Linked DNA regions of Saccharomyces cerevisiae S288C. The main gene of each other region encodes a partner of the protein of the gene in region 2 in a complex. Each region holds a gene or a part of one and is shown on either strand. Other genes may lie near its edges. The genes, in order: DRS2, LEM3, DNF3 and DNF1. A codon is read from its position in the direction of its gene.

Region 1 (8,108 bases), on a different chromosome or scaffold from region 2:
AAAGTACGAAGTCTCAGTACGATGAAGTCTTCTGGACTCTCGCCAAAACACCCATTTAACGTAGTCGCCACCTTTAAAGGACCATTCCCGCAGCATAGTGTAGAATCAAAGCCTCTCGATGGTGGATACTCTGCCAAAGACCATTTTCCCTCATTTAAGATGTTGCAAGCCCAGCAGCACCCAGCCCATCGCCATTACAAAGACAACGACAAGTACGGTCTTAAATCACCTTCCCGGTCCTTCGTGAAGGACAAGAAAAGGTTGGTTCACCGGTTTTTGAAATCCATGGAGCCTTCTTCGTCTGGGCAATCTAAGGATTCGTCTGCACTGGCGCCGGCTTTCGATCCAATATTGCCCAATGTTATATCTAAGCCTTCCAAGCGACCCACACATCATTCGCATTCATCAGACGGGAGTTCTAGCACGCAGACAGATATATCGTTACAGAGCTTGCTTTACCATGATCTTGAAAGCTCACCAAAGAAACATGTTTCGCCCTCAAGACCGCCCTCTGTAGCTTCCGAATCCTCTCCTGCCGTTGCTAATCCCATTGGGCTTTCGCCAAAAGACGCCTGCAATGCATCGTTTTCGCAGTCGTCCTCATCTTCGTTGTCTTCTTCTTCATCGTCTTCATCATCGACGTCATTCTCACAGTCAGTGGCTGTTGATCCTCTTGAACCTCCTGGAAATATCACATATAGTAGTTCGAATCTTTCGCTAAATTCAGATGAATTAGACTACTATCAGCGTCATATCGGATTGCAGTTACAGCAGACAGAAGCTTTACTAAAGCACAGTTTGAAAGATGAGGTTCTGAAAGATGAAAATGACCTTGTTAAAAACATTGCAAATTTTGACAAGATCGTTAAAGAGCTAAGGGACTTAAGATCCAGGACCATTGGATGGAAAGAGCTTGTTGAAGAGGATTATTTAATGAATTTGAAACAGGATTTTGACAAGGAAAACCCCGAATCATTTGAGGCACGTTTGAGTGATACAATAAATACAAACGTGGCAAAATTACAAGATTTAGAGAAAAGAATGGCTTCTTGCAAAGACAGGTTGGCCTCTAGGAAGGAAGTAATGAGGAAAATGGAAAGTTTATTGTCTTTGGAGAATTCCTTAATGATATCCAAAAAAAATGTAACATTCGCATCTAAATACCGCAACGAGGCCCTTGATATTGTCTTTTTAATTATCATCATCGTCATATGCTATACCTTCAAGCATCTAGTATCGCATAAATAAAAAATAGTATTTGTATATCAAAAAATGATCCTGTGATTTTTTCATATGTAACGTATAAATGTAAAAATGTGCTTCTTCTGGTATTTTTAATCAAGTGGAAAGATGAGTGGAAAAAAGGGCAATGAAATAGAAAAGGACAGGCCTGAAAGGGAAGAATACAAGAAGATTGAGTATATTGGACTTCACAGTAACCGTGAAAAATGGCACCAAGTATAGCAACGGTAAAGATAGCCAGGGACATGGTTTTGCCATTACGTATATTTGTCAATAGAAAGCAGATCCTTCAAACCAATGATAAGACTAGCAATAAGTCGAATGCCACTATATTTGAAGCACCATTATTATCAAATAACTCCATAATCTGCTTAAAATCACCAAATACAAGAATATATTTATCGCAACAAGATAAGAAGAATCTTTGTGACGAGATCAAGGAGGACCTGTTATTGATTGTTTACGAACTAGCGTCCCCGGAAATCATCAGTTCCGTACTCAGCAAAATAAGAGTTGGTCATTCTACTGATTTCCAAATCAACGTTCTGCCCAAACTTTTTGCAGGTGCCGATACGGATAATGCGGTAACTTCTCACATCCAGTCTGTGACAAGGCTGGCTAAATTCAAATACAAGTTGCACTACAAACATAAGTGGGAGCTCGACATATTCATCAACAGCATTAAGAAGATCGCCAATTTAAGGCACTATTTGATGTTTCAAACATTAACATTAAACGGTTTCTCATTAAATGCAGGACCCAAAACGTTATTAGCTAGGAAAATAGAAAAACAGCCCCAGGTACCTAATTTGTTAATAGAAAATGGGGACGCTGATGCCCTGGATACACCGGTGGAAGAGGATATAAAACCTGTAATAGAATTTATGTACAAGCCTGTTATTAATTTAGGTGAAATTATTGATGTACATGTGTTGCATAGGCCTAGAAGACATAAGGTACGTACCCAGTCGAAGCAACCCCAGGAGGAATGAAAAACCGATAACAAAGTGATGGCTTAATATTATAACTTCTATATAACGGATATATTTTATGGTAAATGTACATATTTCAGTAATGGTAATAATGACTTTTCTTTTTATCTTATTTTTATTTTTGTATTTTTTGTCTTCTGCTCTTTGTTTCTGTGCCTCATATATCAAATGAAATATCATCTCTCGAAGAACTGAATCTATTTGAATTTTGATTACCATCAGCAAATGGATTTTCAATGAACGGTTCTGCACTTTCAAAGTCGTTACTTCCCAGTCCATTATTGTCATTAAAGGGGTTCGCCGAAGCATCTTGTAATTCACCGTACTTACCTCTCTTTTGAGTAGTATCATACATTCTGACAATTTTTTCTTGCCCACCCTCTTCAGCCTGTGAAAAGGCAAATCCTCTTTGTTTTTTCATTCTTTGCACTTGCCTCACCTTCCTGATGGCATTTTGAAATTGCTGAACGTGCGGCCTAGAGTCGCTGATATTGTATTTCTGCATTTCTTGAATAACATGATACGTTTCTGGTTCATACATTCTTTTATAGTACTTCCATAGAAAATCTCTTACCAGTGCAAAAATTGGTAAAACGATCAAAGTTAACCAAAATACACCGGATCCATACGTGTGTTTAACCACACCATAATACTCTCTTGAGATGTTAGCATGAGGAAATATAGAAGCATAAATTGGGAAGAATATTAACCAAAATAAGAGGGAACCAGGAATGGCAATTAAGGTGAATTTCGTCCATTGATTAGTTACCAAAGCAGCCTTTCCCAAAACAATAATGACACTTGTAGTGTAGACAGTTACACCCCAAGACCAATGATCAGCTAGTTCGCCGTGCATATTTAAGGCAAACCCATATCTGTAAATCAATATGGTGCCAATAAATACTATTGCAGAATGGAAAAAGCCATTAATAATCCATCCCCAGAAGATGTAAACAGAGAAAAATTGACCCTTCTGTCCTAATTTGTACAATTGTGGGTACCGCTCAAGTAATCTACTACTAACAAATTGATCAAATACACCAATGACAAAAGGGGGCCAAACAGTGAAGAATAAGTTGTAGAAACTCATTGTCCATGATTCCATAATGGATTGACCTGAAAAGGCATTGGCAAAAACGTACCAAAACTGCGTCATGTATAATGCTGTATTCTTGTAAAAAGAGTACAAAATTGCGACAGAAATTCTTTGATAAGACCAGGAGCCATGGACAAGTAATAGTTTTTTTAAAAATTTAAATTGGCCAACAGCTATATCAGCTGAACGAGCCGCTTGCATACCTTCCATACCACTAATACCGACACCAACATGAGCTGCCTGTATCATACTAACATCGTTGGCACCATCGCCAATGGCTAGCAGTAGTGAAGACGACTTTCTTTTTACCATTTTAACAACCAAGGCTTTCTGTAGTGGAGATACACGGCAACATATAACCGCTTTACAAAGCTTCGCCACAGTTAGCAAATAATCTTCTAATTCTGGTTCCAAGGCAAAGCCTAATGACTTCCCATCAATGACGAGCGCTAAGGTATTCATATCATGTGTTGACAATTGATGCTCGTTTAGAGCGTTAATCTTCTCTAACAAATTTCTCTCAGTATCATCTCTGGTTTCCTCGTTGATGATCAACAAATTCATGTCTTCACTCAATAAACGGCAACTCATACCAATGTTAATAGCAGTTTCCTGTCTGTCACCAGTTAAAACCCAAATTTTAATACCCGCTTCTTGTAATGTGTGGATAGTTTCTGGAACACCGTCCTGTAACTTATCTTCAATAGCAGTTGCACCAATTAATATTAGATTTTTCTCGATTAGATTTGCGGCTTCGTCTAGCTTCTCGGCTCTGTTATCTAATGTTGTGGCAGCCTCATTATAAATGCTATTCCATTCTTCATATTCTCCTTCAGAGATATCTCTCATCGCCAAACACAACGTCCGCAAACCCTCAGATGCATAATCTTCTAAATGTCTCATTGTAGCTTCTACATATTGATTAGCTTCATCATCCAATCTTTCCAGAATGACAGTATCAGCACCTTTACAGAATAACTTTATCGAACCATCCGGAAATCTAAATATAGCGCTCATTCTCTTCCTGGTGGAATTAAATTCACAAATGTTAAGTAGTTGATACTCTTTTTCCTCGCCAGTTTCCTCCAATAAAACAGTTACAGAGTTTGGTTTACGGATGATAAACTTATACCCTAAATCTGCACCACCTTGAACGAGGGCACCTTCATCTGGAGAGGCTGCTTGATATTTAATAGATCCATCGCTTTGAAATTCTGGAATGACAGTATGACAGGTAGCCAGTAATGTTAAGAAGTCATTGATAATAGGTGAATCCTCATCAGAGGGATCATTTAACTTTTTCTTCAAATCGTCAAATTTTCTATAACCAACTTCAATCCCATCTTCAACAGTGGCCGTTTTATCTTCAGGTATTTTATCAATATAGCAATGGCCTGCAATAGAGCAGGATTTAAATTCCATAATATTTCTTGTTAAAGTTCCTGTCTTGTCACTGAATATATATTCTATTTGACCAAGTTCTTCAACCAAAGAGGATGTACGAACCACAGTTGGGGTATCAGTTTTTTCGTAGTACAAATCTAGATCTGAACCTATCATAAAAGCCTGATAATATTTGATTAATTCAACGGTGACAAATAGAGAAATAGGAACTAGATTCGAAAATAGAATCCAAAATGTTAAAAAGTCTTTGAAGAATAAGCCAGCCTTGTTGGTACCCTCCAGGTAAAGGTACGATAAATGTTTGGCATCTGCAGTAGACATAATAACATTACCAATTGAAGAAATTAAAATTAGCACGATTAAAACTGTGAACAATGCAATAATCTGTCTGTTGATAATTTTCTCAACCGCGGTTCTTTTAATTGGGGTTGCAGTAGCATTACGCAATAACTTAGTTTCATGACCAGTGAAGATAACTAAACCAAATATCCATGCAGTATTTCTTAAAGTTGCACCTCTTAAAATCATTTGGTCAGGAGATAACGGTATTTGACGATCATTTAAAGTCATTGTACCTTCATAAGTATACAAGCTAGAGTTCGGCTGTTCGGAAACAACTTTTCCGTTCATGTTCTTCAAAGTTTTAACGTCTATAAATTTGGCAGTTTCTACTCTCGACTGTTTGATTTTCAAATTTGTTTCACCATCCAAGTTGGCAGTTTCAATGTAGCAAAGACCCTCCGGTTCCGAAGATGACAAAATTATGGTATCAGCAGGAATAGGTTCCTCTGATTTTACTCTAATTATGTCACCTACACGAATATCAATCCATCGTTTCTCAACAAAGTCATCATGTGCTTCTGAAAATATTTCTGCTGTCGAATTATTTAATTCTTTATCAGAATTAGCTCTCTTGATATCTTCGATACATTCCTTCATGGCAGAAACAATCAAAACCACTAATAAAGTACCAATTGTGGTGTATCTATTAGTTGGCGAGACGTGAGGCACCTGTTGAATGGCAGATGTACATAAAAAAAACAGATTAGCGTATTTGGAAAATTCTTGGAACAAAAATTTAGGCAGAAAGGTCGCAAAATTATACTTGGTGGTAGATATATGGTTGTCACTATAACCGAAGGAGGAATTAGCGAGAGAATCGTTGATGTGGATGACTCTTGGTTCACCATTGCCCTCTGCGTCGCCAACGTTCTTTCTTAAAATGTACCGGTTGAAAAGAATTTTAATGTTGAACTTATTCCTCGAGTCTAGATAATTATCGTCTAATTCGTTATTAGTCACCGCATTGTAATGATTCATTTCGAAACTTTCGGGCCCTTTCTTCCGTTTGAACGTAAAGGCATTTTTGAGACCATTACCAAACCTAGCAAATAAACCGGGAGGCTTGACTGCTCGTAGGGATTGTGGTTGATATGCATCTGAGTCGAATCTATTGGCATTCCAAGACGTTTGGTCGTCATGGTTATTGCTCATAAATAGATTTTCATGGACATCATTTTCAATGTTATCATCATCAGCGTCTAAGTCGATAGTCTCTTCGGGAAGTACATGACTTGGTGGTATATAATTCGCGTTCGCATGTGAGTTGGTGACCTTTGAACGGGATCCAGAATGAGAAGTCGTGTCGTCTAAGAAGTCAATATCGAAAAGCGTGTCGTCCTCCCCAGGTTTCCTCTTTGGGGGGGTTTCTCTGTCGTCATTCATGGTAAAATCAGGGAATGAAAGAACCTACCAGTAAATTATTGCTTGGCGCTAACCTCTATTTGGCGTTACTGGCTTCTTGTTGCACTATTCCCCTTAGAATTGCCAACAATTGTTGATTATATGTTTCTTCAACTTAGTGGCATTAAACAGATTTGGGTTTTCTGGCAAAAAAAGCCAATCACGTGATCAGGAAGATTTCAGTGATTTACGCTTCAAATAACCTTTACCTCAATAATCCCGTAATAGTAAGCTTCTAATAGTAAGCTTCTAATTTGCAATGTTATTAGCCCAACAGCTACTAAAGGTATTATTTTTTTTTTTTTTGATAAGAAATTTAAGTGTTACAGAATGGGCCATCTTACAAAAATAATAGTCTTTATGTATTTTTATATATGTAAAAGAATTGAAATATTTTATAACTGGTTGTTATTATGGTACAGTGCGCTGCCCAATCCACGTGGAAAAATCCTGTTCATTCAATAATAGAAACTGAAATCATGTAATGTTGCGTAGTATAGTGCGTGAGCTTATTGTGCCACTTCTTGCTCAGCATTTTGAACTTCGTGTTCCTCCTCGTATTCGATTTCGACTTTAGGACGTTTAGTTTTGGCACTAGTTCCCTTCTTACGTCTCTTGGCTGAATTCTTATTTTCTTCATCACTATCGCTGTCGCTCTCGCTTTCACTGTCGCTTTCGCTTTCACTGGCGCTGGAAGCTTCTCTGTCAGAGTCAGCTAACCACTTTTCTAAGTCATCCACGTCAACGTATTCACCTTCGCCATCATCTGCAACGTATTCAACTTCCCCATCATCACTTTCCTCTTCTTCATCCCAGTCTTCTTCCTCGTCCTGAGAATTCTCCTCTTCCATTTGACCCATTATCTTCTTCCAGACCTTTTCGTCAACATTTAATGGTTTATCACCGTAAGCACCACTCTTTAATCTGTCCATCAATTCTTTTTCGATGGCTTTTTCAATCTTGGCAGCTACCAATGCCTTTCTCTCCCTGTTTTGTTCTCTTCTTTTGACCTTTGGTGCTACACCAACGTAGTGTCTCTCCTCCTCCCTTAATGCTAAACGTCTCTCTGTTATCATGACCTGCGTCAATTTTGTAAATCTCTGTTTACACTTATGACGGAAAAACTTGCTCCAATGTAGTAGGTGTTCGTCGATCTGTTGTAAAGCCTTCGTGTAATTTTTGGATAGTTTGATTCTTTCCCATAACTTGGCAGGAGTGTGCGCTCTTTCAGGCGTCTTCATATACAAGTACAGTTTCCCATTGTCACACTTCACTGTTGCATACTTGGAGTTGGCAAGTGGGCATGATTGCCTTGTACACAACCCAGTGACGTTATACTCATTTCTGCAAAAATTTTGACCATTAGGTGCCTTAATTCTATGAGAGCAGAAACTTTGATTAATCACTTGCCAAACAATTTCGTCGGACATATCCTCGTTGTATTCTAACCGTTGTAGTTATGTACTGAAGAGAACACTGTCAAAAGAAAGAACTAAGCAATGCAATATCTGCCTCTATACCAATCACTTTTTCATTTTTTTTCAAAAGCTCATCGGAAAATTTTTCAAAAAAAAAAAAAAAAAAAAAAAAGGTTTATTACCCTACTGCATTTTGATAATCTGAACATAATG
Region 2 (5,185 bases):
CCAAAAGGCCAAAGGAAATAATTGGCGAGTTTATACAGACACTTGGAGTACTCCTTCGCAGAGTTCGTTACCAGTCCTCCGCCGCCTAGTAAAAATACCACAATAGCCGCCGAGTAGAAGAGTATCGCAATGGGGAAACCGAACAAAATAAACCATAGCACATTGGAACAAGTCACCTCCCAGGTAATAGTCTTCAACTGAGTCTCGTGAATGTCTTGCGCCGCGGTTCTTTGAACTGAACGGTGTTTCTTATATAAAGCAGGCTTCCATATCCTGATACCGAAGGGGTGGGTCTCGTTGATGGCGTCCTGTCTTTCTCGTAAAGTGAATGACTCTGTGGACGAAGCATTAGACGCCTGGTCATTGTTTTCCAAGTGTGAAGGCGACTGGCAATTGATCTCGTCTATAAGTAAATCATGGCCGTGCGAGTCGTGTATAATGAACCGACTGTCATCATTGGCGTCCTCGTCATCATTGTCATCATGAGGTAATTCCCGGATAGATGAATGCATTCGTTTCGGAGAGCTGGGAGTAGCTGTATTTAAGTCTGGCACAGAGTGCGACTTGGAGGATAGCGACTCTAGTGTGGGCGGCAAGTGTTGTTGGTGCTCGTGGTGGTGCAGCGTGTTGTTGCTGCTATGTACGATTGGTGATTGCGAGCTTACAGATCGCTTGGATTTATTGGCATGCAGGGCGAACTTCAACCCTTCATGCAGACCCTCAAGATACCTGATATCGTTTTGGATCTCCTTTGGATCATCGTCCACGCTAAATATTCTATGAGGAGTCGAGGCAGATGTAGTTGGGGTCAGAACCTCCTCTTTAAGACGATGGTCTCCAGAGGTACTGTTACCACTGGCAGAAATGTGGTTATTTTTGGCCATTGCTGCTTACCGCTCTTCTAGCTAGCAGTTATTTCACTTTCATTTACAGCATCCCTCATGTTTATTATCTTCTTTATCTAATATAAATTAGGAACTAAATAATCCCCTCACCGTATAAAGCGACAGTTCCGTGACGGTTACTATTATGAATATCTCAACGGAAAGAGGGCATTAAAAGATCATAATAGTTGGTACTCTCGTATTTTATATATATATATCACTATATTTTAACACTTTTACTGCTCAATTGTGCCATATACTTCGCCTTATTGCGTACATTCTTCACCTTGTATCCCCCTACCTCAGCGTGTATGGTGATATCGCGTTTTTTCATAAACTGAGAATGGGGCTTTTTCTATAACGTGTATTATGAAAAAAAGAAAATAAAAATCAAGAATTAAGCACTTGTATATGCTACAGTAAAGACCTCTTCAACTTCTGCAAGACAATCAAAAAAAAAATGATGCGTCGCACGCTATTACATTCATTCGCTACGCTGCTACTTTCTTTGTCGTTGTGGTCAGCTGCGGTCATGGCAGCTGTGACAACTCAGGTTACAGTGGTAACAAATGTCGCAGGGGCCCTGGTTACGGAGACCACAATATGGGACCCTGCCACCGCTGCTGCTGCTGCTACAACTACCGCTCAAACAGGTTTCTTCACTACGGTATTCACTACCACTAACGATGTCGGAACCACCGTCACTCTTACTCAGACAGTCAACAGAGCCACTATGCTACCAACCACGACGACTTCTACCTCATCTACTGGTAAGACAACCACCACTGTTCCTACCGCAACTTCATCGTTGTCTTCGGGACTGTATTTATCTACAGTTACCACGACAAACGATTTGGGTACCACAGTTACATTGACTCAAACGTTCACACATTCTAGCACCAGTGCTACTTCATCCGCCTCCTCGTCTGTGTCCTCGTCTGTATCTTCGTCTGGTTCATCCTCCAGTGTAAAGACGACCACATCGACAGGGAGCGCAGTAGCTGAAACAGGCACCAGGCCAGACCCCTCCACAGACTTCACAGAACCTCCTGTGTCTGCTGTCACTAGTCTATCTATTGACTCATACATTACCATCACTGAAGGTACAACCTCCACTTACACAACCACACGTGCGCCAACGTCCATGTGGGTCACTGTTGTTAGACAGGGCAACACTATCACTGTGCAAACTACTTTTGTCCAGCGTTTCTCCTCCCAGTACGTAACAGTCGCTTCTCCCTCCGTGGGGTCTATTGGGATGGGTACTTTAACCGGTACTGTAGGCGTTATTAAATCTGCAATAAAGAAAACAGTTTCGCATAATGAGGCCCAGCATCTAGGTATGAGTTCGTTTACTTCAATTTTGGGTGGGCTATTAACGGTTTTAATTTGGTTCTTATAAATTTTTATTCAGAAATAAACACAAACATATACATATATAAGAGTAAAAATAAAAAAATAAAAAAATTTTACAGGGTTAAAAATAAAGAAAACCATCACTCCTTTTCTATTTCATATTCCATGACAAACTTGATGCATCAGCAATCTTTCTACCGCCGAAGAGCCAAAACGTTAATAATATCAATGCCATGGCAGCACAAATACAGCCTCCAATCAGGTAAACTATACCTAAAAATGGATTTCTACCGCCAAGGTGAGAACCGTGAGTCAAGTAGATTCCCTTCTTACCATTAAACTCCAATACTGGCCAATGCAGACCGATATCCAACTGGTATTCACCCGCTGGCAAAGTATCGTTTTTATTGATTCTGATCAGTTTTGTAATTTTATCAAAAGCACCTGGCCTCATCCAGTTTTGGAACTCTTCCCAATCCTGAATATCAGGAATATTCGTCTCGTTGTATCCATCTGGATACATCTTTTCCCAATATGGTGGAGGTGCTATCTGTGTATAATTGTATTTGGTTTTTTTGTACCTTTTTTTATCAGATTCCCAATTGATTCCTTTATTTGTCAATGAATAGTTGTTAGACGTATCCCCTACATTTGTTAACTGCAGGGGGAACGTGTCGTTGAACATTGAGTTCGCAATTAGGCCACATGGATAGTATATTTTACCATCGGCGTTCTTAGATAGTGGCTTACAATTTATACCGGTTGCATCATGCACCGTCTCATAAGAGGCGTCCTCCCCACGTATCTGATCTTCGCTAAAAGATAGTACATATCTTCTGTGATTGGCAGCAAATTTTTCCAGCACATAATTCAAATATACGTTATTTTTCATATCACTTGGAGTAGTGAACCTGATTTGGCATGTACCTCTTTGTTTTGTGAAGTCATCTGATTCATCATCCACAAACCTCCATTGTGGTGCAGTATTATATGTTTTATATTTGTGAAATACAAATTGCCAATGTTCAGAAGGGATGTCGCTCCATGATGAGGTTGCGTTAGTCATACAGTCCTGGTAATATATGGTTACTTCATCCACTTTGGAGTTCTGTGCTAATATGCACCCTCCTACAATAACAAATACAACAGCAATTAACAGATAAAGAGGCAAAACTGTCCTCGGCGTTAACACCGGGTTTATAGCCGCTAATCTTTGTTGAGTGAATGCATCCTCTTTGGGTCTTCTGTTCTTTGTACGCACAGGCTTTACTTCATCCTCTTCAAACTCAGAAGCATCGACGTCTTCTTCTTCTTCTGGGTTGTCTCCGGACACTATAGCTCCTTTGTCCTTTCTACGGAATACTTCACCAACTTGGCCCAAATCGAAATTTACCATTCTTCAATATTTTACCACCCTCTCGTATTTCTAAAAGGACACTTAATTGTTTTCTGGTCTGTACTGATGATTTAATTTGATCTATTTATTTTATCATCATACAAGATTCCTTTTCTTTAATTTCGCGCATAATAATAATCGTTGGAAAATCAACTGTCAAAAGCCACCAGAACGGCAGACAAAGTTGACACTACAACATTGGACACATACTACCAGAACGCTCATTTGCATTTTGCCACACTTGTACACTAGTTACTGGCACTATCTTGCGGTGGTCACTAAGGCGCACTACACTCGTTACGCCATTTGGGTTTATTGCAGCACGTTCATTTACTTGTCCTCCTGATTTGTTAATACCTCTTGCAATTGCATTAAACATATATATATAATATATACATGTATATATTTCTTGTAAAGTTTTCAAGCTCTTCTATTGGTCTCTTTACGATAGTCCTCATCTACTTAGCCGAGCACTATTGAAATGTAAATGCTGTGATATTATTTGAAATTAATTAGTTTTGAAACGTAGTAACGTAACGCAAAGCAAAAAAGAAACAGGACAAGGATGAACAATGATGCAATGGAGCATACCCTTGGTGGAGGTATACTTACCACATCTGGGTCTAAGCAGAGAAAGACCTCTAAGTTTGTAATGGGTAAATATACGTTATACGAAACCAAAGATCGAATGTATATTGTTGGAAGCAATAAAAGGGAAACCATGTTTCGTATTCTAGAAATTGATCTTACTGTACCCCGTGGAGAATTAACTGTGTTGGAGGATAATGTCTTCTTCACCAGAAATGAAATCATGAATGTACTAGCAAGTTTAGAAGAAGCAACTGAAGATGGTCTACATAAGAAAATTACAGGATACGGTCTTCTGGGATTCATTAAATTCACCTGTTGGTACTATTTAATAATGGTTACCAAGTATAGCCAAGTTGCAGTGATTGGCGGTCATGGTATTTATCACATTGATGGTATTGATATTATTCCTATTACGAACAACTATAAAAAACCTGAAAAAAGTTCAGATGAGGCAAGGCTATTGAATATATTTAAGGATTTAGACCTAACAAAAACCTTTTATTTCAGTTATACCTACGATATCACAAATACTTTACAAACCAATATATTGCGAGAGAAATTAAAAGCGGTTGACCGATGTGATATTACAATACCTTGCGGGATAACCGACTATAACGAAATGTTTGTTTGGAATAACAATTTATTATCTCCTATTTTTGCTTGTATTGACACTGTTTTTGATTGGTTCCAATGCATTATACATGGATTTATTGACCAGGTTAATGTTTCAGTTTTGGGTAAGTCCATATATATTACTTTAATCGCAAGAAGATCCCACCATTTTGCTGGTGCACGCTTTCTAAAGCGTGGTGTTAACAATAAAGGTCATGTTGCTAACGAAGTCGAAACTGAACAGATTGTAACAGATATGATTTTGACTCCATTCCATCAACCGGGAAATGGATTTTTTGATAGTGATCGATACACTTCTTTTGTACAGCATCGTGGCTCAATCCCC
Region 3 (9,146 bases), on a different chromosome or scaffold from region 2:
GACACCGTGGAAGCTTTGAGAAGATTAACAGAGATTTGGCGAACTTACCAGGATTGGTCTCCACCAACAAGGGGTTTGAAACACCTACGTGATATCCTGAGCGTTTTAGCCATGTATGACAACCCCAAAAACTTGATTAATGATGTTCGACGTACATAGTAGATTCGTATATAGCGGACCGCGTAACATATTATGGTATTTGTATAGTGGGTAACCCGCAGAGTAGGCTGGAAAGTATTCGTGAAGAACATAAAGGAAGCTGGCAGAAGTTCTTTTCATACACCTCTACTTCCAGAAGCCATAATAGCAGCAACGCTGTTTCTGCAATATAACTTGTGGAAGGTCTATAATAGGAAGAACATGTCTTTCACTGAGGATCAAGAAAAAATCGCGCTAGAAATACTGTCAAAAGACAAGCATGAGTTTTACGAAATTTTGAAGGTAGATAGGAAAGCCACAGATAGTGAGATCAAGAAGGCATACAGAAAACTAGCAATCAAATTGCATCCTGATAAAAACTCTCATCCAAAAGCGGGAGAAGCTTTCAAAGTAATTAATAGGGCATTTGAAGTACTAAGCAATGAGGAAAAGCGCAGTATTTATGACAGGATAGGTAGGGATCCTGACGATAGACAAATGCCATCCAGAGGTGCTGCTTCAGGGTTCCGAGGAAGTGCAGGTGGGTCTCCAATGGGTGGCGGATTTGAAGACATGTTTTTCAATTCACGTTTCGGTGGTCAAAGAGCTGGACCACCAGAGGACATATTCGACTTTTTGTTCAACGCAGGCGGCAGCCCATTCGGCGCTTCACCATTTGGGCCTTCTGCTTCCACTTTTTCATTTGGAGGCCCCGGTGGTTTCAGAGTTTATACTAATAATCGTGGTGGCTCACCGTTCATGCGTCAACAACCCCGCTCAAGACAGCAGCAACAACAAGCAGAAGAAAATGCAGTGAATTCGCAATTAAAAAATATGCTCGTTCTTTTCATCATCTTTATTGTTCTTCCTATGATTAAAGATTACCTGTTTAGTTAAACACAATATTTTTACTGTCATTTTTTTATTATTTTCCAACGTTAGTCAAAGTTGTACTATAAAATAAAACTACAAGGAGCAAGCAAAATTGAAAAAACGCATTTGTATACTAGATGACATTTAGGTCATTCCTTCAGGCTTCCTGGCTATGTTTTATTTTGTTCCACAGTTTACCAGAAGGACATAATGGTATTAGAATTTTAATATATCGAGGAAATTAAATCAGACAGTATAATACTTATAAACATCTTTATTTTCTGATAACTAATCATAGCATTTACGCCATACATTTACTTTTTCTTTTGACACCGAAAGTAATCAAGCCACTTTTATAATTAGAGTTAGTTTATAGATAGTATTTAAAATTTGTGAAGATTTCCCATGCGTTGTGCCTTGCTTTCTCTCAAAATACATCTTGTTAATTTTCTAATGTGTGGATGCCGAAATAATATTCGACTCAACAAATCAAGTAAGTCTTCTAAGCTCGCTACTAATTTCCAATAAAAGGTATATATATAAAAATGTTCTCAATAATGTAATTAAACAAGATCACGAGAATTACTCCAGATCCTTTAGCCTTGCCTGAATAATCTGGTTCACATCTTCATCTTCCACATTCCTCGATGGAAGCTTCAGTTTCTTCGTCAGTTTAGTAGTTATATTGCCGCCAATACTGTCTTTACTGCTTTGTGTTTTCAAGGATGGTCGCTTGATTAACTTGCCACTAGGTAATACCTCGTATCGTTCAGAGCTCTTTTTAGAAGAGTTTCCAAAGAAATTTTTTTTTGAGGAATGGTCTACATTCCCATTTGACATTGAATATATGCTGCTGTTATGAGTTTTTGCACTTGCACGTGAATTAGTTCTTGGCCTTGAAAGAACTTTGTCTGTGTACCTTGTGAAAGTACTGGGATCTTTATCCCACGTCCATCCTTGCCTCATTTCGCTATAGGCTCCTAGTTCCAGCTTCTTTCTGATATCACTTTTTTGTTCCAGCTCAGCAAAAATATCAGAATCTGATGGCCATATCATAACTTTGAATGTTTTGTAAACTATATCTAAAGTGATAGGTAACAGTGCCAACACCAAGCTAGTACACCAGAATGTAATGTCTTTACCAAAATGATTGTAAAAGCCATATGCTACATCATATATTTGGTCAGTATTATTCAAAATAGGAAGGGCACAACACCACACTAACCAACCTCCACAGGATAGAACTACAGAAGTAAAAGCCAGCCAATTCCTATTGTGCATTTCAACAAATTGGGATTTAACGTTAATTAAGGCAACAATGGCTGTGAAATTGATGAGACCTAGAGGATACATAGTGTTATCTGAAAGAGAACTCATACCCCACATTACAACATTTAAAAATGTAATGATAAGAGAATTCGTAGTTGCCAAGATAACCCACTCCATGAATATTAACCAATTAAAACCTTGTGAAAGGCGCCCGTACGAATATAATTCAGGGACTGTTAGTAGAGTCATTGGTTTCAAGTCTTTCTCAAACATACCAATACATAGAACCGGTAGTGATGTGAATAGAGTATTGAACATGGACAATGACCATGGCTCATATAGAGAGGAGCCTGAAAACATTGTATATCTTTGATATATCAACTGCGTAAAGTAAAACGTAATTTCTTTGTAAAACGTGCAAAGCATAAACTTGGAGGTGCGAATATAGTTATAACGCCCATGAACAAATAACAATTTCAAGAGAAACCGAAATTGGCCAATAGAATAATCAGATACTCTAGATGCTTGCAATCCCTCCTTACCGGCTATTCCAACACCTATATCGGCAGATTGTATCATGGCAATATCATTCGCACCATCACCTATTGCCAACGTGACTAAGTTTGGATCGGTATTTCTTATGTTGGAAACCATAAGGGCTTTTTGAGAAGGTGAAGCACGGCAACATATTACCGAGTCTGTTTTAGTGCAAAGCTCAACAAATACAGACATGTATGTAGGATTTCCTTCAAACATGGCCATCGTGGCACCGTCAATTACAACAACGCAGTGTGCTATGTTTCCGGAATCAACTTCTTGAGAAACCGCATTCATCTTTGATATAATATTTTCATCAGTAGTAGTTAAAATGACTACCGTAGAATAATCTTTGATTAACATACACGAATACCCTATATTTATAGCCGTTTCCCTTTTATCCCCTGTTAGCATCCACATTTTTATACCGGCTCTTCTGATCTTTTCTATAGCTTCTGAAACGCCGTCTTGTAACTTGTCTTCGATTGCAGTTACCCCTAACAGATTTAAACCATCCTCGATTTCTGCACCTGCCTCATCGACTTTGATTTTTCTATCAGTAAGGGAGGTTTTGGCTTGGTGATAGCGTTTATTCCAATTTTCATACTGCCCAATATCGATCCATTTGTAAGCATAGACCAGAGTTCTTAAGCCTTCAGTCGAAAACTCATCGATGGCTTGCAAAGTTCTTTCAATAACATACTCTTCATTCAAAATTAACTCATCGCTTCCAATGTGCTCCAAAATTTCTGTATCGTAATCATGCTGTAGTCCTTCTTTTCTTGTGTCTATTGGGACATTGTTGTTCGGAAAATGTGTTCCATCTATCGAAATTCGCGGCCCATATTTTTCTATTTGTTGCTTATGGAGTGACTTCCTGCTTTTATTTACAACGCTGCCAATCTCCTGATCAGATTTCTTGACCGTTTCTAGAAATTGATCAATGGAGTCAATTTGTTTCTCTGGATCACGGGTCCTGCTGTTCTTCATTGAAAGACTTTTTCTCACTGCCTGCAATGATAAACTTGCTCTCGGTACGCTAGACAAAGAATTTCTCAATGAGGTCCTGGCCATAGCCTCTTCATCTACCATTCTTTCCAGAGACTTTCTTTGCTGGAGAACCAGCTCTGCTTCTGCGTCTTTACGTTCTTTGGTACTGGTGCATATGTCTGCCATTTTTTTGGCAGCCAATTCGCGATCATGTAAACGCTCCATAATAACGTTATCAGCACCTTTGCAAATTAAAAGAACTTGATTTGGTTGATTTGGCATACGTACAAGAACAGACATTCTCTTTCTTTGAGAATTGAAGTCAATATAGTTCAAAATTTCATAATTTTCCAATTTTGCTTCACCGTCAAAACCGTCTGGAAAAGTTTTAATGGTCAAAATCTGTGCATTTCTATTCAATACAATATAACCAAGGTCTCTAGCAGCGGTTACTAGTGCTAATTCATCTGGAGATGAAGACTGATACTCTATGGAGTCTTCTCCTATTGATTCGTTATGAGTTTTTTTGGGAAGACAGCTATGACAAAGAGCTAATGATAAGAAGAAAAATTTAGCCTTTTGAGAAAACAGGGCGGTCGGATATCTTTGAATAAACTGAATTAAATCAAACGAACTTTTAATGTTCTCCGAAAATGTCTCGGAGGGTGAAATAACCGAAGCTTGTTTACTTAGATGTGAATTATCTTTCCCAAAAAGTGATCTCATACTGGGACGGCCTGTATAAATTGCTGATGAATTTCCCTTATATTCAATAGAATTCCTAGATTTAGGAAAGTTGTCCAAAGATGGACGATGCCCTTTTTCAATTGGTGCGTCCGAAAATCCTAACCGATCAAGAACATTTTGATCTCCAATGGAAACAACGTCTATACTAGAGCCGTTGTGAGCTTTTGGTGGTAGTCTCAAGGAGTTCGTATTGTCTCTGTTGTCTTCAAAGTTATCCTCAGAATTACCGAGATCTACATTATGCAGCCAAGATGATCCACATAAAGAAAATTTCCGAAATATCATCTTATTATCCGTCAGCGTTCCGGTTTTATCACTAAAAATATAAGATACTTGCCCCAATTCCTCCAGAATGGTGGCAGTTCTCGATTCGCATGGCGTGTTCGTTTCTGCATGGTACATGTCTATGTCCCATTCCATCATTTTACTTTGGACTACCTTGATAATTTCCATTGTTACATATAGGGACAAAGGAATCACAGTGTTATACATGATGATAAAAGACATTATTGTGGGTGCTACGCCAGCATCTGCCTGAAATAGATACCATGCTTTGTTCTGGTCGATATATTTTTTCTTATGCAAAACATGGCCAAGATAAGAAAATAAAGATATTGTGGCAACGACAAACACCATAAACACGATAATCATATTTATCTTCCTTTGTAGCTTAGGGGCTTTCGTTCTTGGGTTTTTTAAAGCATTCATTCTGATTTTTGTTTCCTCACCACTGAAAATGACCATACCAACAACATTTTGAGTATTCCTCAAAATACTACCACGATAAATGACATTATCAGGACCTAGAGGGTATTTCATTATGGTATCATTGCGATGGTTTTTCAATTCAAGATTACCTTCAAAATTATATAAATCAATATTGGGATCTTCCACGGTAACTTGAGCATTAATATTTGCAAGACCTGATGCGGCTTTGGTTAACTTATTTAATTCTGGATGGGGTTGTTTACTTTTCAAATTTGTTTCGCCATCTAAAGCCATCGTTTCAACGAAACATTCGCTATTTTCGCCGTCACATGTCAATAAAAGCAGATCTGCAGGTACCCAATCATCTTGTGTGAGAAGTACGAAGTCTCCAACACGAAGTTTTTCCCACTTCTTTTGATGAATATGAACATTGTATTTATTCTTGAGTAGTTCAAAGTTATTGAAGTGCGTGTCTAAGAAGTGTCCTTGAGAGGAGTTCCGATCATCGTTTAAAGGTGGATTATTTTCAGCAGCGGCCGATTTAGTTAGATATGCAGTGGATGAGACAACACTACTTGGTAGTGTATAAACTTCTTGTGCGTCATTATTTCCATCTTTAACCAACACTCCCACTGGTTTATTGTTCTCTTCCTTATCTAAACGATGTCTCCTGAAATCGTCCCAAGCCTCTCTTGTCATGGATATACCCATAAATACACATAAGGGGATAATAGTTGTATAAGTACCAGTTGTAGACCATCCAGGTATCATTTGTAATACTGCGACAATGAAAAAATAAGTATTGGCTAACTTTGAAAATTGTGCATACAACTGTCTAGGCAAAAAGGAATAGAATGTATATCTTGATGAAGTTATTCGGTTGTCGCAGTAAGGCTTGTTGAACCTTTCGTCTATCAAATGACCATCCCTTTTAGTAGCAGCTTGTTTGTATTCAATTGCATTATGATCTAATATAATCGGAATATGTCTACCGTCTTTCGAATGGAACGTCCTCCTTCGATCTAGGATAGTATCAAGTATTTTAGTGATAATGCTATATGACACATCAGGACTACCATACTCTTCCATTTCATAATCCTCTTCAGCAGCATAATTGCCGCTTGTTTCATCTCTGTCATCTTTATCGTTATTATCGCTACCGGAGAACGTCTTACTCTCATTTATATCTTCTAACTCTATCTCATCATCAGTTCTTCCGCGATATTTATCATACAAATGCTTGTTGAACATCTGCGTTCGTAGTGATGAAGATCTTCTTCTTTGCCCATCAGCTATGCCCATAATATTTTTTTCTTTTTAATAAAGAATGGAATTAAATTATCTACTTCAATTAGGATGTTTATTTGCTGTATGGAAGCTATGTGTATATAACGATAAAGGTCAAATAAAAGAAATAACAAAAAAGAAAAGAGTGAATGAATAGTCCAAAAGCAATGGGGTAATTTGGCACTTGATCTTTTCTCAAGACTTCCTGCAATATTGAATTCTTCTTTGTTAAATATTCGCTTACTTAAAGCACTTGACAGACTGGGGTCGAAAATAACCCGGCTGCGCAGCCCGTCATTTGCTTATTTAGAAAATATGATTAAAGTGTAATTAGTTATTTCAAAGTACATATTAAAATATATTATCATGAATCATTTCCTAGTAATCCTTTTAATTCATACAAAAATGGGATAGTTTCTTCCGAAGATACTTTGCATTTGCTGAGAGGCCTGCTCTCAAGAAAGGCATCGTCTCTTAATGGTTTTTGAAAGCCAAACTTTACGGACATGGAAGCCTGAGCTTTTCTTAGCAATTCAAAGGACTTTGCAGTTCTTAGCCTTTCCCTGCCTTCACGGTTTTCTTGAGCCAATTTCAAAATTCTTTCATCTAACTTGCGTCGTAATTCGTTGTCAGAAAGTTGCTTGAAATCTGGTTTCCTACAACTATCCTTTCCGATAAAATCTACGCGGTGATTTTGGCGTGAACCGGCAGAACATTCCTCCTGACAGTCGTAGTCTTCATATTCCTCTAGTTCGGTGTCGTTTTCAAAAGAGTCATTCACCGATTCAGCAACATCAATGAAGTCAACTTTCCTCTCTAAGCTAAGACCTTGTACTGACGAAGAACGGGGTGACTTTCTGCCTTTGAGGATATCCAGATGGAAACCATGGTTGATTGTATTGGTTGGGGATACCTTTTGTATCCTAGAAATATTGCCACAAATTTTCGAGGTTTTCCAGAAAGTAATGAGCTCCTCCAACTTATCCTCAATGATGTTCCTATCATTCTCTGTTATGCCATTTCGAATGTCAATAGCTAATAGATTGTTCTCGATCATTTTTAAGTAATTAAGTGCCTGAAACAATTTATCATTCTTTGAAAATGAACATACATTTGCTCTTTCACAACCAGTATTAGTTGATGTTTCTTCAGGAAATGCATACAATATTTGCTTATGGTCATTCAAAGACACCAGGACAGTGGAGAGTAGTGAATGTAATCCTCTTAATAGACTAACTATATTTTGGAATGTACCTATTGGATTATATTTTTTTTTGAGTTGCACCCTTGCCATGTAATCTGGAAAGATTTTGTTTAGTGCGTTTCTCATGTTTACATTTGAAAGATTTTCGTTTCCTGTCATATCTAAAGACAGCAAACAACAGAGCATAAATTTCTTTAGCAGTTTGAGACGATAAAGCTTACCATCAAGGTCTTTTACTGTGGTAGTATTATTATAGTAAAGATTTGGTACATCGATACCGTATAATTCACAGTATTTCGATAGCTCACTTGTATCGCTAAAGATGACAATATCTGGAATGATTGATTTGAGTTTATAAAACAGTGCATCACTTGAGAATACTAGGAGCTCTTTTATCACAGATGAGTGCTCGTCAGCAATTGAAATAAGAGACACTCTTGATATAAAACTATGATTTTTTATTTCTTTAAATCGAAGATGATATTTATGAATCATTACATCCACTTGTTGTAATGATTCGAGCACTTTCCGTACCTTTAATAAGGTTTTATAGCAAATCAAATGTCTTCGAAAGTATTCTTGCTGAATTGATAAATACACTGCTACGAGTATTAAAATTACAACTCTCTTCAGACCTGGACTATTTTTTTTTCTACAGTATTTTTTCAACTGTGTAAGTACTCGATAAGAGGTTATAATCATCGAAAGGTAGTTGAAATTTTGTCTGAAATATAATTTTTTGTCCTCTGCTACCGCCAATTTACCATATTTTGTCGCCATAAATGGTACAGATTTGGGAGGTACATTCTTTAACAAAGTTGAGCTTTTATGAAAGTTCATAATAGATTGATCAAGATGTAGTGATAACCTGTAATGATTCATATCATTCAAAAAATGAGAAGTAATGATTGAATACCGAAATTCTTCAAAGAATTGGTGTGTTACACCGAATGGCTGTTGCATGAAAATTCTTGAAATAATATCATCCCAATTAAAAAACTTCGTTGTTTTTCCTACGGTTATAGGTGAAAAAGTACAGTCATTAGATCCCACAATTGTAGGGGAGTATTCATGTAATACGCTGCGGCTGCTTAATAGGGACGGTTTTCGCCACGTAGAGTAAAATTCTTGACGATTGTTCTCGGTGACACCTATTATGTTATCACTATCAAGGGTTAGACTAGAACTCATGAATCCATCCTCTTCGCTTGATTTCAGCATGGAAAAAATCTGTAAACCGGGAGCCTGCAAGGCGGATGGACGTGAGTTTGTTGTCATTATTAAGTTAATCAACAAACGTTTCACAAGTAAGTAAAAACAAACTTGTTGCAATAAGCGTGAGGTATGCCGAGCAGTTATTGAGGGGGTGAGATTTTGACCTTTGATAAAACTC
Region 4 (8,638 bases), on a different chromosome or scaffold from region 2:
CCCGAAAGGGGTTTAGATTCTGAATCCATTTGAAGCACCATTGGTTGCTCTTCAACGATGTCCTCTATGTGTTCGTTCTTTGACGATCCAAATATCTTCAGCATTCTCCTTTTGGAGGATTTCTTCTTTAATTTCGCCTTTGGTGCTGGCACAGAAACCGGCTGGGTTTGCAAGTCAGTATCATTTTCGTTAGCCGTGTCCTGTACAGTATAATTGACGAAGACCATTTCACCTGATTTCTTTCTACTACTCTTCTTCGCCTTAGTATGGTTGTCTCTGGGATCCTCTAGCAAAACTTTTTTCGGGCTAGACATAACATTCATAGTAGGTAATACTGGAGTGCTACATGAGCCTGTTGAGGAGTTCCTGTCCGGCGAAGCTTGTGTGCTGCCGCTAGCGGATCTGCGATAATAGTGCGGAATTTTCCATTTATTCGTAGATTCCGTAGAACGACTCTTTGTGGAATTAACCGAACTGGAACGATGGTGGTGACTATTCTTCGGCATGTGCTATTGGTTTTGAGCGATAAATCAAGACTGCCTTGCTTCTTGTCTTAGATCTCCTTCTGAGCTTTCTTAAAAGACTTCCCTAAATGGCTGATCTGATTGTTTCCTTTATTAACAACAAATCCACTGAAAAAAAAGTCAATAATTTGATGGATATTAGCGAATGTTAACCGGAAATAGGAGTGAAAGACGTGTATTACAAAACTATGACTATGCCTGATTAATATCCTGAATAACTAGGCATGAACCTTTTTTCACGCAAATAATAACAATAGGCCTAGGATTTCTATGATATAATAAACTTTCTGTTAGTATAAAAAACTATTTTTGATAAATATAGTCTCTCACCTAGTCAAAAACATACGTATCACGGCTTGATTAATTCTTAACTCTACTTTACAACATTTCAAAAATTCCTTTGATCATGACCTTAATCAATTTTTTTGCCAGTTAGTGGAGAGTTCCCAGCGCTGGAAAGTGCTGGCGTCAGTTTTCCATCGGAAGAAAAAATTAGCCCACCATTGTGCGTCCTTGAATAATAGCGATCCGGGTTAACCGGGAGTGTTAATTATAGAACAAAGAAACCCACACGTCCGCTACTAAAACTTGCTAAAAGAAAGAGTTAACGCTGTAGTATGCATGAATTCCAAGGCTTCTAAGGCTTCTAAGGCTTCTAAGGCTTATCCAGTAATATTATGTAATATTATATATACAGTGAAAAGCGGAGTTCCATCAGCTATGGTTCGGATATCATTATTAATTGTTCTGTTGTGTTCCGATTAAGGAGGCTGCGTTAGTTACGCCTGGTAGATCTAGAGATGTTCTCGCTCTTTCCACAGAGTAGCGGTTATCTAGTTGGTTAGTGGCGATCATCTGTTCTCTTGTGCGGTCCAAGGATGACCTGACGTTGGTTGATGGGCCTCTTCCGAACGTTTGGGCCTGCTGAAATTGGGGCGATTGAAGAAGATCTTGTGTTTCCTTGGGTGAAGTCATCCAGGTTTCTTGCTTCTGATATCCGCTAGGACTTCCATCTTCACCGTGCATGAAAGTCATTGGAATCTCCTCTGTGACAACACTATCCCTTGAATAGTTCGATCCTCCTAAGTTGTCGGAAAGTGCTATGCCTTCTATAATCTTCTCTCCGTGTTGCCCAGCTTTTGTGACCTTGGGTCTGTTGGGATCTGTTGGATCGTAACCAGGAGGATAATGATCGAAATGGCCATGTTGCCACATCTCTCTTACTATTTCCACATCAGTTGGGTAGAAAAATTTTTGAAAACTGTCATATGTGAAACGGGGCAGTAAGCAGAACAGCACGGCAACAAAGAAAACAGCCCAAAATGAAGGTGCTCCATAGATACGCGCTGCAGCTTTGAAAAATTCTCTACTAGCTATCGCAGAAGACCATATTCCCGTCCATGCAAAAACTACGAGGCAAGACAGTGCAATGAATAATCCACTAAACCAATCCCATCTATATTGGTGTAATAAAACATATGTGTTACACGAAATTACAGCAATAGTGGTCACATAAACACCGACAAAATAACGATGATCCAATCCTAACCCATTGCTCGTAACTATCATATTTTTGTGATAAACCAAGTAAGGGAAAAAAAAACAGATAATAGACTGATATAATCCGTCCAACATATACCATAAGAACTTTCTTTGGTTCCATTCTTTCCTTAAAATTCCAACACGGTATAACTGAGGGACCACTAATGATATTGTGTCATTCACGTCCTGGTCCAGAATACCTAAGAAGATGACTGGTAGGGATGTAAATGCCAAATTATAGAACATCATGTATGTGTATTCATACAGGTAAGACCCATCAAAATCATTATAGATACCATACCAGAACAATGCCAAAGCAAAAATCATGTTTTTGTAAAAAAACTCAGGAATCATTTCTGCCAGTCTCTTATAAGACCACCTACCGTGAACGAGGACCAATCTAGCCAAATATCTGAATTGTCCAATGGCGTAGTCTGAGCACATAACAGCTTGTCGACCTTCTTCACCGGCAATACCAATACCAACATCCGCAGATTGAATCATGGCGACGTCGTTGGAACCATCGCCGATGGCTAGTGTCATGACATCTAGAGAATCCTTGACTAACTTAACAACGGCTGCTTTTTGAGATGGAGATACTCTACAGCATAAGACAGCTCTACAATTCTTGCAGAGTAAAAGAAACTTTCTTCTTATATCTTCACCATATAGCGCCAATTTCAAAGCATCACCATCGATAACGATGGCGTAATTACCCTTCGGAAATTCGTGATCCTTTTTAGCTTCAAAAATCTCTTCTTCTGAACCGGTTAAGTTGAAATACTCCTTCAAGTATTTGGAGAGTAAAGCATCCACAATTTCACTTGGTTCTGATCCGAATTCTTTCACGTCATCACCAGTTGTTTTAATAACTAACAATTCCATTTCATTATTCAAAAGGTTGCAAGAAAATCCAATGTTTATAGCTGTTTCAACTTTATCACCCGTAAGAACCCATAATTTAATTCCTGCCTCTGCAAGCAACTCTATACAATCCGGAACACCATCTTGTAAACGATCTTCGATAGCTGTACCGCCCAATAATATCAATTCGCGTTCAATGGAATCTGCAACAACTTCTAATTCATCCTCTCTGTTTGCTAATGATGCAGCAGCAATATCGTACTTTTCGTTCCATTTTTCGTATTCAGACCAACTTAACTCCCTTTGAGCTATGCATAACGTTCTTAAACCTTCAGTAGCGTACTGCTCTAAATGCAAAGCAGTTTTTTCCAAAATAGCTTCACTATTGCTACCACTCTGGCGACTTAATCTTGAGTATATAATGGAATCTGCACCTTTACAAATTAAAAGTGCTCTAGGCTCGTCCCCTGGGTTCAGACCCGGAATTTTGACAATACAGGACATTCTTTTTCTCGATGAATTAAACTCCAAAATATTTAGAATCTCAAATTCTTTTTGAATACCTTGCATTTCAATTATCAACCCTTTTTTGGTTTTTCCAACAAAACTGAATCCTACATCTCTAGCTGTGGCTACTAACGCTGCTTCGTCTGGAGATTGAGCTTTTAAATCCAGTTTTTTTGGATTGTCCGGGTTTGCTTCTACAAGGACGGAGTGACATAAAGCTAATGCTAACATAAAGTGCTCACAGCATCTTTGTTGTACTTCACCACTAGCCCCTTTCAAATCGCGAACGAACTCCTTTGATACAAAGGTAACTTCTTCGGGATAAAATTGTGAATTTCCTGATAAAGCTCTCAGTTCATCGATCATTGTATCCCTATCCTTGGCAATTTCGGCCTTCTCACGCCTACCTTCGGTTTCGACGTCGATACCTTGTCTTTTTCTTAATCCCGCTAACGCTTCGGTGTAAGCTCTTCCATATGAAACACCATTGATAGTACATTTTTTAAACTCCATTACATTTTGAGTTAATGTACCTGTTTTATCAGAAAATATATATTCCACTTGACCTAAATCGTCAGAAATATTCCAGGATTTTGGTGTACAAGGATAATCCAATTTGGCATTGTAGAGTAAAACGTCTCCGTAAATGAAGGCCGCTTGTGCAGTTTTGATGATCTCCACAGAAATGTACAAAGAGATTGGGACTAAAGATTGGTAAAGAATAACAGCAACCCAAAATGAGACGAAACCGTTTGTCGCCGCTGACCCAGCAATTGTTCCAAATTCATAGGAAAACCGTGATCTGCCTTTTTTGTCGTAATATACACCATTTGCAATACCAGAAACAAAACATAAGATGAAAAGTAGCACGAAATTTATCACCACAGAGAAGTTTAGTTCTCTTGAAATCCTGGACTTCTTGGTGGGTGTAATGCCAGAGTTTAACATGATTTTTGTGTCACCACCGGTAAACATTACAACACCCATTGCCCACTTAGTATTTCTAAGAGTGCAACCACGAAGCAGAACGTTATTAATAGTAATTGGCTCATTTCGTATCTCGCCATCTGCAAGATTTCTCCATTTCATATTACCTTGATAAGTGTACAAATTTGAGTGGGGCCCTTCACTTTCGATCCAGAATTTTGTTCTAGCAATATCTTTTGACGTTCTTATAGTATTGGTACACTTCAAGGATTGGCGTACCTTTAAGTTTGTTTCACCATCCAAATTTTTAGTTTCTACGTAGCAGGCACCATCTGTATCCGACGTTGAAAGTAAGATAATGTCAGCAGGGATTTCATCATTGTTATGGATACGAACAATATCACCAACCTTGACACCTTTCCAATAATTCTTGGCAAATTTACAATCAGTTCTGGGTGGTAGGGATCTATCAACTATATTGGCTTCACCGGCCCCTTGTTCCAAATTATCATAATCCAATGAAGGACGGCCATAATCTGCAGATACTCTGTAACTGTCAATGGAGTCTAGAGAGGATCTGGGTCCACTCGTTCCAACAGTTTTTTGTACTCTTAGTTCATGACGCTTTCTCTGCATTCTCTTCTTTTTGCCCTCTTCAGTTAAATGTTCTTTACAATATTGTATAAACTTGAAAAGGAGTCTAGAGTTTGCTTTCTTAAACCTTCTCCACAATGAAATATTATCGGTTGAGACATTTTCGTTCTCAACACCTTCTAAAATATGTGTCTTGGTATTATTCACCTCTAAATCTAGGACGGTTCTTCTTGAGTCTTCAATAGCATCCTTGATCGCAGTGATTATAACAATGACAACTAACGGAACCGCACTTAAACCAGGGTTCGTGACACCAAAAATTTGAAATGCACCTAAAATTATTAAAACTAAGAAATAAACGTTGGCGAAATTATGAAACTGAAATAGAATGTTTTTTGGTAAGAATGTTAACGGGGTATATTTGGTAGTTCTGATTTTATTACGAGGATACTGCATAATGGGGTTGCCTTCTTCATCTATCATATCTTTTGGTAAGGGCATATTGTAATACACAGTCCTTAGTTCTTGCGCACGATTTATGGCACCAGGGTCAATATCATCCTTCGTAAAGTCTTCAAATGGGTTTGGAATGTTCTTCCTAGCCCATTTCAAGGTCTTAGATCTTCCCATTATTGGGTTTCCTTTTTTATTCCTTTTTGTACCCATCCGGAATCTTTTCATACCATCGTAGTTAGTGTGCGGTTCACCACTATCATTGTCTAATTCCACATCATCAAACGTCCCAGATCCATTATTAAGTTTCGGTGTTGGCTGAAAGGAATGATTGTCATATTCTGTGTCATCGTTAAATGTGAATTCTTCTGCATCTTCACGTTTATTTTTGGGTGTTTCATCATTGAAGCTGACCTGTGGCCGGCTGTATTTGTTGCTTGTTGCACCATCATCAAAATGGGTAGGTGCAATATGTGTATCTTCATTACTGCTATTATCTTCAAATTGAAATGTATCTTCAAAGGGCGACATGGGAGCATGCCCATCGCCATGAAAAGTTCCAGACATAATTATCAACTAACTTTCCTTTTTAAAGTTAACTGCGTTTTTATTTCACTTCCAGGAGGAAATAAAGGATTTCTGTTACGGTTGCTTTCCCTTGCTCAACCTCCGGTTAATTTTTGAGTGTTTTTAATTGCGACCCTAAAAATCCACTTAAAACTGTCTGAGTTGCGTATTACGATGACCTTCGGTTATTAAAGGTCAAATTTCATAAAGTAAAAGCTAAGTGAGACTTTGCTCTGTGAAATTTTATCAGCTTTGTACCTCCAGTTAGTTGAATGCGGTGATGAATAGCAAGGTACCCTCACTTGATTTGTCAATTTTTTGTAAATTAGTATTTTCCTGGAACCTGTTGGTCTTTTTTCCGTGCTATTTTGTTTATTTTCCGCGAAAACTAACATTCTGCCGTTAATAATGAGACCTCAAAAAAACGCAACTAATAAACTCAGTAATGAAGTCTAATAATAGTAAAATGATACTTCTCTTGACAGTTAAAAACAAAAAACGTTTGCATTTTGTCAATAAGAGCGAGTATTTAGGTTACAAAGGATAATAACTAGTATTTAAGACAAAAAAAAAAGGGAAGGGAGAAAAAAAAGATGATAAGTTTGTTGAGTAGGGAAGTAGGTGATTACATAGAGCATTAAGCTTGCTCAGTTTGTTGTTCTTGCTCCTTTTTGAAAGACTCATAGGCAGCAGAAGCTTCTTTGTAGTGTTGTTCGAACAATTCATCACTTTCCAACAATGGGAAGACCTCTTGAGGTGGCAAATCCAAAATCATACCAGTAATTTTACCAGCTGCTTCTTCATTTGAAGTCTTAGCAGAAACCTTCTTGTATAATTGTTCACCCAAAGCTTGTCTTTGCTTTTGTTGATAAAATTGGTTGTTATCGTTGGCATTTCTTGGGAAACCACCTTGTGGGGGGACGCCGTAAACCGGACCATTTCTAAATTGAGGTGGCATGCCGTTCTTTGGCATACCGCCCATTGGGTTCATTTGTTGTGGGTTTGGACCGTTGAATGGAACACCTCTTGGTGGCATAACACCATAGAACATTGGAGGCATGAATTGACCTGGCATACCGGCAGCGGCGGCGGCAGCGGCAGCAGTAGCTTGCTGGTATCTCATTTGATTTCTGGCTTGGATTTGTTGAGCCAATTGAGAACGTCTTACGTCTTTTCTTTGAGCAATGGCAACGTATAATGGCTTACCAGCAACAATTTGTTGGTTCTTTTCTGTAATGGCCTTAGTAGCTTCCTCTGGAGTTGAGAAACAAACAAAACCAAAACCCTTAGACTTACCGTTTTCGGTTCTCATAACCTTTGCAGAAGTGATAGTACCATATGGAGCAAATTCTTCTTCCAACTTTTCGTCATCAACGCTGTCATCTAAGTTCTTAACAAACAAATTAACACCTTGGTACTTGGCCATTTTTTCCAATCTGTAAGCTTCGTATTGCTTCTTCAAGACATGCATACGTTCATTCTTCTTTTGGGCACGACCAACGTATAACTTTTCTCCATTTAGTTCAGAGTCATTCAAAGCTTCAACAGCTTTCACAGCGTCTTCATGCTTTTCGTAGTTAACAAACCCGAAACCCTTCAATTTTCCATCAGCATCCTTTTCCAAAGAGGCAGAAACAATTGGACCAAATTTGGCAAACAATTCTTGGAATTGTTCGTCAGTAGTTTCGGAGTTGATGTTTTTCACATAAAGGTTAGTGTAATGTGCCTTAGTCTCTTCCAATTGAGAGTCACGTTCCTTTCTGGACAAGTGAGGAGCAACATAAATTTCTTGACCGTTCAACAGCATACCATTCAAAGCATCAATAGCTTCCTTGGCAGCACCTTCTTCTTCGAAGTGAACAAACCCAAAACCCTTGGATTTTCCGTTTTCGTCGGTGGCAATCTTGCTGGACAAGATGTCACCAAACACAGAGAAAGTGTCATACAAAGCCTTGTTGTCAATATCAGGGTGCAAGTTCTTGATAAAGATGTTACCAGAACCCTTCTTTCTCAATGATGGGTCACGTTGAGACCACATAATACGGCATAATCTACCCTTGATTGGAGTGTAGTTCAATTGCTCAATTGCTTTTCTGCCGGCTTCATGGTCGTTAAAGTTAACATAAGCATAGCCCAAAGAGGTCTTAGTGATGGCATCACGACAGACACGAATGGAGGAGACTGAACCGATTGGAGAGAAGATATCATATAAGTGGGCTTCGGAAACAGAAGGTTCTAAGTCACCAACATATAATGATGCAGAAGAGTTTTCAACAGATTGGCTTTCTGAACCAGTGGCGGCTTGCTTTTGGTCATCTTGAATATTCAAGTTTTCCAATTGTTCAGCTGTCTTATCAGTAATATCAGCCATTTTATTTTTATTGGTTTTTTAGTTTTTTTTGGATTTTTTTTTTTGAGTTTTTATTGAATAAAAAGCCAGATATTAGGTGGTGGTACCAGGGCCTGCTCTATGCTTCAAACGGTTATTAAGTAAAAATGTTACTTCGTAGCTCACTGTCCTAAAAATACAAAATCAAAACTAAAGAATTTTACACAAGAAAGAAGAGATATAAAATACAAGATGACACTTTCTATTAAGTAAAACAGAAACCTCTTTCCTTGGAACTGGAGCGAAAGAGAACAATTGTCCCAGAACTTGC

The links.
Region 1: LEM3 (region 2) and DRS2 share a complex: the UniProt entries of both Saccharomyces cerevisiae proteins name them as parts of the flippase complex.
Region 3: LEM3 (region 2) and DNF3 share a complex: the UniProt entries of both Saccharomyces cerevisiae proteins name them as parts of the flippase complex.
Region 4: the proteins of LEM3 (region 2) and DNF1 are in contact, whole or in part, in a cryo-EM structure (PDB 7WHV), measured with the Saccharomyces cerevisiae proteins. Residues at the interface, in NP_014076.1 of Saccharomyces cerevisiae: Asn50 (codon at 3,489), Arg51 (codon at 3,486), Arg52 (codon at 3,483), Pro53 (codon at 3,480), Lys54 (codon at 3,477), Glu55 (codon at 3,474), Phe58 (codon at 3,465), Thr59 (codon at 3,462), Gln60 (codon at 3,459), Gln61 (codon at 3,456), Arg62 (codon at 3,453), Leu63 (codon at 3,450), Ala64 (codon at 3,447), Ala65 (codon at 3,444), Ile66 (codon at 3,441), Asn67 (codon at 3,438), Pro68 (codon at 3,435), Val69 (codon at 3,432), Leu70 (codon at 3,429), Thr71 (codon at 3,426), Pro72 (codon at 3,423), Val75 (codon at 3,414), Leu78 (codon at 3,405), Tyr79 (codon at 3,402), Ile82 (codon at 3,393), Phe86 (codon at 3,381), Ile93 (codon at 3,360), Glu102 (codon at 3,333), Tyr174 (codon at 3,117), Asn176 (codon at 3,111); in NP_011093.3 of Saccharomyces cerevisiae: Ile234 (codon at 5,279), Thr238 (codon at 5,267), Asn239 (codon at 5,264), Tyr574 (codon at 4,259), Gly579 (codon at 4,244), Arg580 (codon at 4,241), Ser581 (codon at 4,238), Ser584 (codon at 4,229), Tyr585 (codon at 4,226), Glu586 (codon at 4,223), Phe587 (codon at 4,220), Val604 (codon at 4,169), Phe631 (codon at 4,088), Tyr633 (codon at 4,082), Gly634 (codon at 4,079), Asp635 (codon at 4,076), Val636 (codon at 4,073), Leu637 (codon at 4,070), Tyr639 (codon at 4,064), Asp644 (codon at 4,049), Pro646 (codon at 4,043), Arg1171 (codon at 2,468), His1176 (codon at 2,453), Trp1179 (codon at 2,444), Arg1183 (codon at 2,432), Tyr1205 (codon at 2,366), Tyr1208 (codon at 2,357), Asn1209 (codon at 2,354), Asp1210 (codon at 2,351), Asp1212 (codon at 2,345).

Annotation. Positions count from the first base shown.
Region 1 is NC_001133.9:93,239-101,346, forward strand, and holds DRS2 (aminophospholipid-translocating P4-type ATPase DRS2), read right to left. Parts: upstream 6,460-8,108; coding exon 2,392-6,459; downstream 1-2,391. Other genes in the region: FRT2 (Frt2p), read left to right, coding at 1-1,248; DNA-binding protein SAW1, read left to right, coding at 1,449-2,234; ribosome biosynthesis protein MAK16, read right to left, coding at 6,987-7,907. UniProt on the Saccharomyces cerevisiae protein: Catalytic component of a P4-ATPase flippase complex which catalyzes the hydrolysis of ATP coupled to the transport of phosphatidylserine and small amounts of ethanolamine from the lumen to the cytosolic leaflet of the trans-Golgi network and ensures the maintenance of asymmetric distribution of phospholipids.
Region 2 is NC_001146.8:30,395-35,579, reverse strand, and holds LEM3 (Lem3p), read right to left. Parts: upstream 3,637-5,185; coding exon 2,392-3,636; downstream 1-2,391. Other genes in the region: VNX1 (calcium/hydrogen antiporter), read right to left, coding at 1-884; KRE1 (Kre1p), read left to right, coding at 1,345-2,286; FIG4 (phosphatidylinositol-3,5-bisphosphate 5-phosphatase), read left to right, coding at 4,202-5,185. UniProt on the Saccharomyces cerevisiae protein: Accessory component of a P4-ATPase flippase complex which catalyzes the hydrolysis of ATP coupled to the transport of glucosylceramide, phosphatidylcholine, phosphatidylethanolamine, and small amounts of phosphatidylserine from the lumenal to the cytosolic leaflet of the cell membrane and ensures the maintenance of asymmetric distribution of phospholipids.
Region 3 is NC_001145.3:577,358-586,503, forward strand, and holds DNF3 (aminophospholipid-translocating P4-type ATPase DNF3), read right to left. Parts: upstream 6,565-9,146; coding exon 1,594-6,564; downstream 1-1,593. Other genes in the region: CVM1 (Cvm1p), read left to right, coding at 1-159; type I HSP40 co-chaperone HLJ1, read left to right, coding at 361-1,035; INP2 (Inp2p), read right to left, coding at 6,914-9,031. UniProt on the Saccharomyces cerevisiae protein: Catalytic component of a P4-ATPase flippase complex which catalyzes the hydrolysis of ATP coupled to the transport of phosphatidylcholine and small amounts of phosphatidylethanolamine from the lumen to the cytosolic leaflet of the trans-Golgi network and ensures the maintenance of asymmetric distribution of phospholipids.
Region 4 is NC_001137.3:510,084-518,721, reverse strand, and holds DNF1 (aminophospholipid-translocating P4-type ATPase DNF1), read right to left. Parts: upstream 5,979-8,638; coding exon 1,263-5,978; downstream 1-1,262. Other genes in the region: BCK2 (Bck2p), read right to left, coding at 1-506; PAB1 (polyadenylate-binding protein), read right to left, coding at 6,616-8,349. UniProt on the Saccharomyces cerevisiae protein: Catalytic component of a P4-ATPase flippase complex which catalyzes the hydrolysis of ATP coupled to the transport of glucosylceramide, phosphatidylcholine, phosphatidylethanolamine, and small amounts of phosphatidylserine from the lumenal to the cytosolic leaflet of the cell membrane and ensures the maintenance of asymmetric distribution of phospholipids.